Linked DNA regions of Macaca mulatta. The main gene of each other region encodes a partner of the protein of the gene in region 2 in a complex. Links are inferred from orthologs where the notes say so. Each region holds a gene or a part of one and is shown on either strand. Other genes may lie near its edges.

Region 1 (4,597 bases), on a different chromosome or scaffold from region 2:
GCTGAGGCAAGAGAATCGCTTGAACCCCGGAGGCGGAGGTTGTGGTGAGCCAAGATTGTGTCATTGCACTCCAGCCTGGGGAACACACAAAACTCTGTCTCAAAAAAAAAAAAAAAAAAAAAAAATGGGGGGCGGGCACGGTGGCTCACGCCTGTAATCCCAGCACTTTGGGAGGCCGAGGTGGGTGGATCACAAGGTCAGGAGATTGAGACCATCCTCACCAACGTAGTGAAACCCCGCCTCTACTAAAATACAAAAAATAAGCCAGGCATGGTGGCACATGCTTGTAATCCCAGCTACTCGAGAGGTTGAGGCAGGGGAATCGCTTGAACCTGGGAGGCGGAGGTTGCAGTGAGCTGAGATGAGATCACACCACTGCACTCCAGCCTGGTGACAGAGCGAGACTCCGTCTCAAAAAAAAAAAAAAAAAAAAAAAAAAAAGCTTTGAAACAAGAAGGGTCAGAGAGAAAAGAAAATCTGAGGAAACTGATTAGGCACACTCACCTTCGAAGGGTGAGATAATGGTCCAGGGCTCGTCTTCTTGTGGGGCTCATGGGTGCAGGGGCTGAGACAGTTGCTGACTCCTCGGCCTGTGGGCCAGCCCCAGGTTCAGGTTCCCTACTGATCTTCCCGCTTTGGAGTTCGACCTCTGAGGGTGGCACAGGAGAAAGGGAGACAGAGGGACCAGGGGCTTCTGGTCTAGGTAGAGAAGAATAGTCTGTAAAAGCAGTAAGGGAAAGGGCCAACTCTCCTATGACTCCCAACCTCTTAAAACAGTGTTTCTTAAACTATATTTTTCAAGATATTAGTAAGTTCTGCATACAAAGGATTTTAGAATCATGAATTTGGGAAAGGCTAGCTTTAAATTTTACAAGTTTTTTTTTTAATTCTTAAGACTTTGTATAGCTTTTAAAACTGTTACTCTTTTTTTTTTTTTTTTTTTTCTGAGATGGAGTCTTGCTCTGTCACCCAGGCTGGGGTGCAGTGGCCAGATCTCAGCTCACTGCAAGCTCCGCCTCCCGGGTTTACGCCATTCTCCTGCCTCAGCCTCCCGAGTAGCTGGGATACAGGCGCCCGCCACCTCACCCGGCTAGTTTTTTGTATTTTTTAGTAGAGACGGGGTTTCACCGTGTTAGCCAGGATGGTCTCGATCTTCTGACCTCGCGATCCACCCGTCTCGGCCTCCCAAAGTGCTGGGATTACAGGCTTGAGCCACTGCGCCCGGCCTAAAACTGTTACTCTTCAAGTAGAATTACAAAGTGCCATTTCCCAAACTTTATTTAAAAATCACAAAATTCTCCTTTTCTTTTTCTTTTGAGATGGAGTCTCACTCTGTCACCTAGGCTGGAGTGAAGTGGTATGATCCTGGCTCACAGCAACCTCTGCCTCCCGGATTCAAGCAATTCTTCCACCTCGGCCTCTTGAGTGGCTGGGATTACAGGCACACACCACACACCCAGCTAATTTTTTATATTTTTGGTAGAGACGGGGTTTCACCATGTTGGCCAGGCTGGTCTTGAACTCCTGATCTCAAGTGATCCACCGCCTAAGCCTCCAAAAGTGCTGGGATTACCGGTGTGAGCCACCGTGCCCGGCCAAAATTCTCCTTTTCTTGAAACACTAAGTAACATCTCCAGAACGCTAGTATTCCTCAGAATACAGACTGGAAAACACTTTCAGAGCCCTCTATCTCCTTCCGAGCCTTCCTACCTCTGGCTTTCCCCTCCCATACCTGTACTTCCGGCGGCAGCAACTGTTATAGTGGGGAGCTCTGTGCAGAGCACTCTGGGTGATAAGTCGTGTCTGGGTTAGCAGAGGAGCCTGGTAAGAAGATGGGAGACAGAGTCAGAGCCTTCAGCCCTCTGCCCTTCCAGCCTGGTGTGTGCAGCAGGGTCTTGCCTAGAACACACTCTCCACTCTCTGATTACCTCAGCTTTGGTTTCTTCCCTCCTCAATTCATTCTGATGTCTTGGATTCTGCTTCCTTTCCTTTCCCGGCTGCTTCTTGCCATAGAAAAGCTGCAAGCCTGAAGAGAAAGGGAAACAGAATTAAAAGCATAGCACCAAGGCTGGTGTGCAGAGATTTCGATTTATTCCCCATCCCCTGTCTTCCCCCGAACTTACTGGACAGATGTTTCTTGCCTGCACGGTGGGCAGTCAGCATGGCCAGGGTGTCCAGTACCGGTCGATGGGGGCAGATGGCACAAGCAAAGCTGAGCAGGGGTAGAGAAGAGGATAACTGGTCCAGGGGAAGAGGGTTGGGCCTGTCCCTGCCGTAAGTCCCACCCTGTCCTAGCAGTCTTTGCAAAACCCAACTCCCTGGTGACCCAATCTCCACTTCTTCCAGTCCTCACTAGCCGCCAAAGAATCCTAGATACTTCTGCTGTCCTAATTAATAACAAAAGTTTGTTGAAGCCGGGCGTGGTGGCGTGCGCCTGTAATCCCAGCTAATCGCGACGCTGAGAAGGCAGGATCACTTGAGCCCTAGAGTTCAAGGACAGCCTGGGCAACACAGCTATTGAGCCTCTAACCGCAAAACCCTCAGGCTTGAGCCACTCCTCGCTCTTACCGTCCATCCCGAAGCATCAGCGCCTCATCCTCTGGGATGTAACTGGCGAGGAGGTCCCCGACTCTTCTTTTCTGCAGGGAGTAGGGGAAGAAATCCGGACGGATCAGCAGGATAGGAGAGAGGGATGGAAGTTAAATGATAGAAATGAGGAGTCAAACGGAATAAGGACATAAGGACCCTGGGGAGAACAGCGATCATAGACCGAAAAAGGAGTCACTACACAGCTCTAAGTCGCCTGGTTCTCTCCTGCACCCCCGAGTTGTTGCCAGAGCAATGAAACAAAGCTCCTTCCCAACCTTCAGAGAGCGACTGAAGAGGCTGCAGATCCTCTCCGCTCACGCTTACTTTGAGCACATTGAGTTGACTCCAATCGTCTCCTTCCCTCTTGAAAGACATCACGACTGTGAGTCCCAGAAGTGATAAATTTTCTTGTTCCGGTTTCGCCACTCCTCTAGGCCACCGTAGCAAGAGCGGGACAGCGCCTTCTCTTTTCTCTTTGTCTTCCTGTCGGCCCCCGTACTTCCGGGAATGCACTTCCACGCATGCATTGCGCCATCCGGATATCCACTCTCTGGCGCGTGGAGGGAACTGCATTTCCTATGGTGCCGTGCGACTCCGCAGACGCGACGCCTTTTGGGAAATGAAGTCTTTTCCTCAAAGACCTTGCCGCTCAGCTGGATCCAGGCCCTTGCATCTTGGTGGATCTGAGGCGTTTAGAGGGACAAGAACCTAGATGTGGAGCCGAAATTTGAGGGTGTGACCTATCTGATGCGGAGCGGACCTTTGAGGATCTCTGAGTGGAAGGTGTACTACAAATTCTCGCAATCCTCACGCTCTTCGTCTGCGGCGACAGTTCACCTGGGGTGGGCCTGATTTGTTCCTGGCTCTAGCAAACAAACCCCGGGACCGGGCAGAGCTGGGATGTGGGAGCGCCCTGAGGCCAGACTACTTGGGGGCAAACTGAGGAAAGAGTGTTGAGGATTATTTCTAGAGTTCAAAGGTCAGAGGTCAATGTAGCGAGGAGTTGTGGGGGAGTTCAAAGTCGGAGGGGTGCTTAGGGGCGAATCAGGGAGGGACTGAATACTCAAGGGACAGATTTGTGGATAAGGACTTGGAGGGAGGAGAAACCGGGAGGGGGCAGGTGGCGTAGTGCTGGGGAGGCGGGGACACAGGGGAAGAGAGAAGGGGAAAGGAATCCCCTGAATATCTATTCCCAGACTTCAGGCCTGTCATTCGCAGTCTCGGTCGGGCCTCCCCTAGTTGCAACCTAGCTGTCGGCAGGGTGAAGAGATGGCTTCCCCGTCTAGACAGCCCCCGCCAGGGGGGTCAGGACTGCTTCACGGGAGCCGGGCTCGTTCATATGGAAGCCTGGTGCAATCGGCCTGCTCCCCAGTGAGGGAAAGACGCCTGGAGCATCATTTGGAGCCCGGAGACACCCTGGCTGGACTAGCACTCAAATATGGGGTGACGGTGAGTTTTCCAGGATTGGGGTGCAGACAAGAGTCAGGAGGGATTTAGTCCTGAGAAGAATGTAGTGGACCTTCTAGGTAACCTCCCCTGAAATGTTCCTAATGTGTTGAACTCTGTTCTGCTTTTATCTTTGTTTTCCCATCACAGTGTTGCACTGCGTGGTTGGGACAAGTTCTGCTCTACTATTCCAATGGAGAGGAACAGCTCCTATTTTATCATGCCAGACACTGTGCTAGGGGCTTCACATACGTTAGCTCATTTCACCCTCACGTCCGTATCAAGTATACATTTATTGTTCCCTTTTGGCAGATGAAGAAACTGAGACTTGGATTGGTTAACCATTTTGACTAAGGTCAAATAATGATTGTCAGATATGGGATTCAAACAGGTCTGTCTGACTCTGTAAACCACACAGAAAATTTTACATTGAGAGTGATTAAACGTTTACAGCAAATAATGGAGAGCTTATTTTTAGTTCTCAGTTCCTAAAGTGCCTACCTCTCCTTGCTCTTGGTTCCTCCTCAGTGCTCTGCCTTCTTTCTAGTAAGGCGGCTTCCCT
Region 2 (4,552 bases):
TCCCAGCTACTCAGGAGGCTGAGGCAGAGAATTGCTTGAACCTGGGAGGCAGACGTTGCAGTGAACCGAGATCGCACCACTATACTCCAGCCTGGGCGACAGAGTAAGACTTGTCTCAAAAAAAAAAAAAAAAAAAAAAAAAAAAAAAAAAAAAAAAGGATATAGTTTATTCTTTAGGCGTAGGGGTGGGTAACTTAACCAGGGAAGTTGTCTGGCATGACTATAGGTTCTATTTATAATTTGGTATCTTATTGCCACAAAGAGTCTGTTTCATCAATCTTATTTCTATTTCTTTATTTTTATTAAAAATTAGCCACCACGCTCGGCTAATTTTTTTTTTTTTTGTATTTTTAGTAGAGACGGGGTTTCACCATGTTAACCAGGATGGTCTCGATCTCCTGACCTCATGATCCACCACCTCAGCCTCCCAAAGTGCTGGGATTACAGGTGCGAGCCACCGCGCCGGGCCCCTTTATGATCTCTATTTCAACGTTAATGCCAGTCAGTTGTTGTGTCTGGGCCACAAAAGGGAGGAAGATATAACAAGGTACAGCTGACCTCCATCGCATCATGGCCAGGAACTCAGTTTTAAGGTTTTCCTGGAGTTCTCTTAGGCACAAGGGTGTCTGCTCAGCCAGTAAGGGGATTTAGGATTTTATTTTTAGCTTACAGGGAGGAGCAGGCTCAGGAGCTGAAAATCAAGAGTTCTGTTTAAGGCATATTAAATTTGAGGGCACGGTGGCTCATGCCTGTAATCCCAGCACTTTGGGAGGCAGAGGCGTGTGGATCACCCGAGGTCAGGAGTTTGATACCAGCCTGGCCAACATGGTGAAACCTGTCTCTACTAAAAATACAAAAATTAGCCGGGCATGGTGGCAGGCGCCTGTAATCTCAGCTACTGGGGAGGCGGAGGTGGGAGAATCGCTTGAATCTGGGAAGTAGAGGTTGCAGTGAGCCAAGATCGCACCATTGCACTCCAGCCTGGGCAACACAGCAAGACTCCATCTCAAAAAAAAAAAAAATTGAGGCCGGGCGCGGTGGCTCAAGCCTGTAATCCCAGCACTTTGGGAGGCCGAGACGGGCGGATCACGAGGTCAGGAGATCGAGACCACAGTGAAACCCCGTCTCTACTAAAAATACAAAAAATTAGCCGGGCGCGGTGGCGGGCGCCTGTAGTCCCAGCTACTCAGGAGGCTGAGGCAGGAGAATGGCGTGAACCCAGGAGGCGGAGCTTGCAGTGAGCCGAGATCGCGCCACTGCACTCCAGCCTGGGCAACAGCCTGAGACTCCCGTCTCAAAAAAAAAAAAAAAAAAAAAAAAAAAAAAAAAATTGAGATGTTTATCAGTCCTCCAGTGGAGATATCAAGTAAGCCACTAACTACACAAGACTGGGGAAAGCAGCTTATAGATGACTGGGAAATTATATCACTCACAGAGAATGTTTATGGAAAAGAAACCTATGAGATCTGAGAAAAGGGAGGAGGGTCCAGAAAGGAGGCTGGGAAAAGAGAGGCCGCTGAAGTCGATGGAAAACAAAGAGCACAGGAAATCTCAGATACCAAAGGAGGGCTTCAGAAGGAGGGAGTGGTTAACAGTGTGACATACTGTTGAGAACCCCAACAAAATGAGGACTGAGGCTGCCTGGCGCGGTGGCTCGCCTATAATCCCAGTACTTTGGGAGGCCAAGGCGGGCGGATCACCTGAGATCGGAGTTCGAGACCAGCCTGACCAACATGGAGAAACCCCCTTCTCTACTAAAAATACAAAATTAGCCGGGCCTGGGGGCACATGCCTGTAATCCCAGCTATTCGGGAGGCTGAAGCAGGAGAATCGCTTGAACCTGGGAAGCGGGGGTTGCGGAAAGCCGAGATCGCACCACTGCACTCCCCAGCATGGGCAACAAGAGCGAAACTCCGTCTCAAAAAAAACACGAGGACTGAGGATTGAATACTAGAGTTAGCAACAAGAAGTCGCTGGCAACCTGACAAGGGGCAGTTCTGGGATCGAAATTCTGACTTGAGTGGTTTCAAGAGACTCAGAAAACAGCATGAAGCCACGGGTCTCTAACTTGTTCTGAAATCACGGCGGCAGCAGGAGGGGAACGCGGGGCACGGGGCATAGGCGGATTTTTTTGTTTTATTTTATTTATTATTTTTGAGACAGAGTCTGGCTCTGTCGCCCAGGCTGGAGTGCAGTGACACGATCTCGGCTCACGGCAATCTCCGCCTCCCGGGTTCAAGCGATTCTCCTGCCTCAGCCTCCCGAGTAGCTAGGATTACAGGCGCCCGCCACCACGCCCCGCTAATTTTTGTGTTTTGGGTAGAGACGGGGTTTCATCATGGTGGCCAGGCTGGTCTTGAACTCCTGACCTCAGGTGATCCGCCCGCCTCAGCCTCCCAAAGTGCTGGGATTACAGGTGAGCCACCGCGCCCGGCCTGGTTTGCTTTAAATAGGAAGGCTCTGCAGCACGTGTGCAGGCTGATAGGCATGAACCAGAACACAGCCAGACGCGAAGTACGGAAGAGGGAGAGACTACAGGGGCAAAGCTCGCGAGCAGACGGGGCACGGTCCGGGCAGAACTAGAGTAAAGAAAGACCGGGCTGCGCTCGAGCCCGCAGCTGACGTCTTCGGAGCCGCGGCCCCCTGGGAGAGCGCGGCGGCCCGAGGGTCATTACCCTGACTGGAGAGACGGTGGCAGCTTCCGGGAGGAAGTGACTTTTGGGCTGGGCTCTGGGGACCAGCTGAGAGGGAAGGCGAGCGGCGAGCAGGGCGGGACAGGCGGTTTACTGAGGCAGAGCGGAGCGCCACTCCCGACTGCGACTCAACTTACATCTTGTCCTTCTGGTGCTGTCGCTTCCCCATGGCGGCGCGGCGGCGGCGGCAACTACCTAGCACGAAAAAGCAACCGCTGACCACTCAGACCATGGAGCCACGGCCGAGTTTCGTGACCACTTCCGGGTTCCGCGGCTCGCCCCGGAAACAGGCGCTTGGCGTGCTGGGAATTGTGGTTCGCTAGCGCCAGGTGCGCATGCTCGGAAGGATCGCCTGCCCAGTATGGGGTCCTAGCTAGGTGTGTTGTGTCTCGCTGGCGCCTTCTCGGGGCAGAGCTCCCTCAGCCTCGAAGCCCCATCTTCTCGAAGGGTCTCTCCCGACCGCCTCGCCTGCCCCCCTCAGCCACGGCTCAGGGCCATTCCCATACTGGGTTCTCAGGTCTTATTTTATTTTCGAGACAGGATCTCGCTCTGTCGCCCAGGTTGGAGTGCAGTGGCGCAATCACAGCTCACTACAGCCTCGACCTCCCAGGCTCAAGCGATTCTCCCACCTCAGCCTCCCGAGTAGCTACGGGCACGCGCCACCACACCCGGCTAATATGTTAATTTTTTGTAGAGACAAGCTCTTACTATTTTGCCCAGGCTGGTCTGGAGCTCTTGAGCTCAAGCAGTCCTCCCGCCTTGGCCTCCCAAAGTGCTGGGATTACAGGCCTGAGCCTCCGCGCCCGGCCAGCGCTCAGGTCTTTTTCAATGTCCTCCTAGAGCTTCAAGTCTCATGAGCCTCCACCCCATCCTTTCCCGCCTCCGTGGCCGACTCCTTCAAAGCCATGTACCACCCTCGTTCTACTCGCTCACTTCTCATTCTCTCTGCATATTCCGTCCGCACCGCCTCCAGGCCCCTTGGAGGCCCAGCAGCAGGTGGCCATCAAGCCTAGAGGTCCAAAACCCTGCCTGATCCCTTCCTTCTCTTCTGCCAGACTCTTGCCTTGGGTCAGAACAGTACCTTGGGCCCCCAACTACACTCAGGCCCGGGGTAATCTTGCCTAGGCTCCTAATTTTAAACGCCATTTATATCCCATGACTCCCAATACTAAGTCACCAGTACTCCAGGTTCCTGATCTCCACTTGGGTAGCCGCTGATCTCAAATTTAACATGTCTGGACGGACGTGGTGGCTCACACCTGTAATCCCGGCACTTGGAGAGGCTGAGGCAAGCGGATCACTTGAGGTCAGGAGTTCAAGACTAGCCTGGCCAACATTGCAAAACCCTGTCTCTACTAAAAATACAAAAATTAGCCGGGTGTGGTGGCGGGTGCCTGTAGTTCCAGCTACTCAGGAGGTTGAGGCAGTGAGAATCACTTGAACCCAGGAGGCAGAGGTTGCAGTGAGCCAAGATTGTGCCATTGTACTCCAGCCTGGGGTGACAGAACAAGACTCTGTCTCAAAGAAAAAAAAAAAACTGGAAACAAATGTCTATGAGAACACAGCTAAACGACCCCTGGTACAGCCATGCAGTGGACTATTTTGGAACTGCTTAAAGGAATGAAGTAGATATCCCAAGAAGTAAAGACATCTCAGTGTTTTATTTATGGAAAAAAGCAAGTTGCTGAGAAGAACGTGCAATGTGACTCGTACTTGGGTTAAAATTTTAATGTATGTGTGTGTGTTTGTGTGCAGAGACAAAACATTTGGAAGGGTACACATGAAACTCATAGCAGCAGTGGACTCGTATTTTCTGTATTCACTTCTGTATTGTGAACTTTTTTCCATGGAACATGGTC

What was found. Proteins that work in one complex are often made in the same cells at the same time.
Region 1: PPIL2 (region 2) and SCNM1 share a complex: the UniProt entries of both Homo sapiens proteins name them as parts of the minor spliceosome. The link is inferred for Macaca mulatta from reciprocal best matches to the Homo sapiens genes PPIL2 and SCNM1.

Annotation. Positions count from the first base shown.
Region 1 is NC_133406.1:115,922,394-115,926,990, forward strand, and holds the start of SCNM1 (sodium channel modifier 1), read right to left. Parts: upstream 3,079-4,597; 5' UTR 2,965-3,078; coding exon 2,914-2,964; exon of another isoform or gene 2,865-2,913; intron 2,640-2,864; coding exon 2,569-2,639; intron 2,213-2,568; coding exon 2,124-2,212; intron 2,027-2,123; coding exon 1,929-2,026; intron 1,822-1,928; coding exon 1,733-1,821; intron 700-1,732; coding exon 505-699; intron 1-504. Other genes in the region: LYSMD1 (lysM and putative peptidoglycan-binding domain-containing protein 1), read left to right, coding at 3,859-4,038. UniProt on the Homo sapiens protein: As a component of the minor spliceosome, involved in the splicing of U12-type introns in pre-mRNAs. Plays a role in the regulation of primary cilia length and Hedgehog signaling.
Region 2 is NC_133415.1:31,327,158-31,331,709, forward strand, and holds the start of PPIL2 (RING-type E3 ubiquitin-protein ligase PPIL2), read right to left. Parts: upstream 2,954-4,552; 5' UTR 2,863-2,953; coding exon 2,831-2,862; exon of another isoform or gene 2,788-2,830; intron 1-2,787. UniProt on the Homo sapiens protein: Has a ubiquitin-protein ligase activity acting as an E3 ubiquitin protein ligase or as an ubiquitin-ubiquitin ligase promoting elongation of ubiquitin chains on substrates.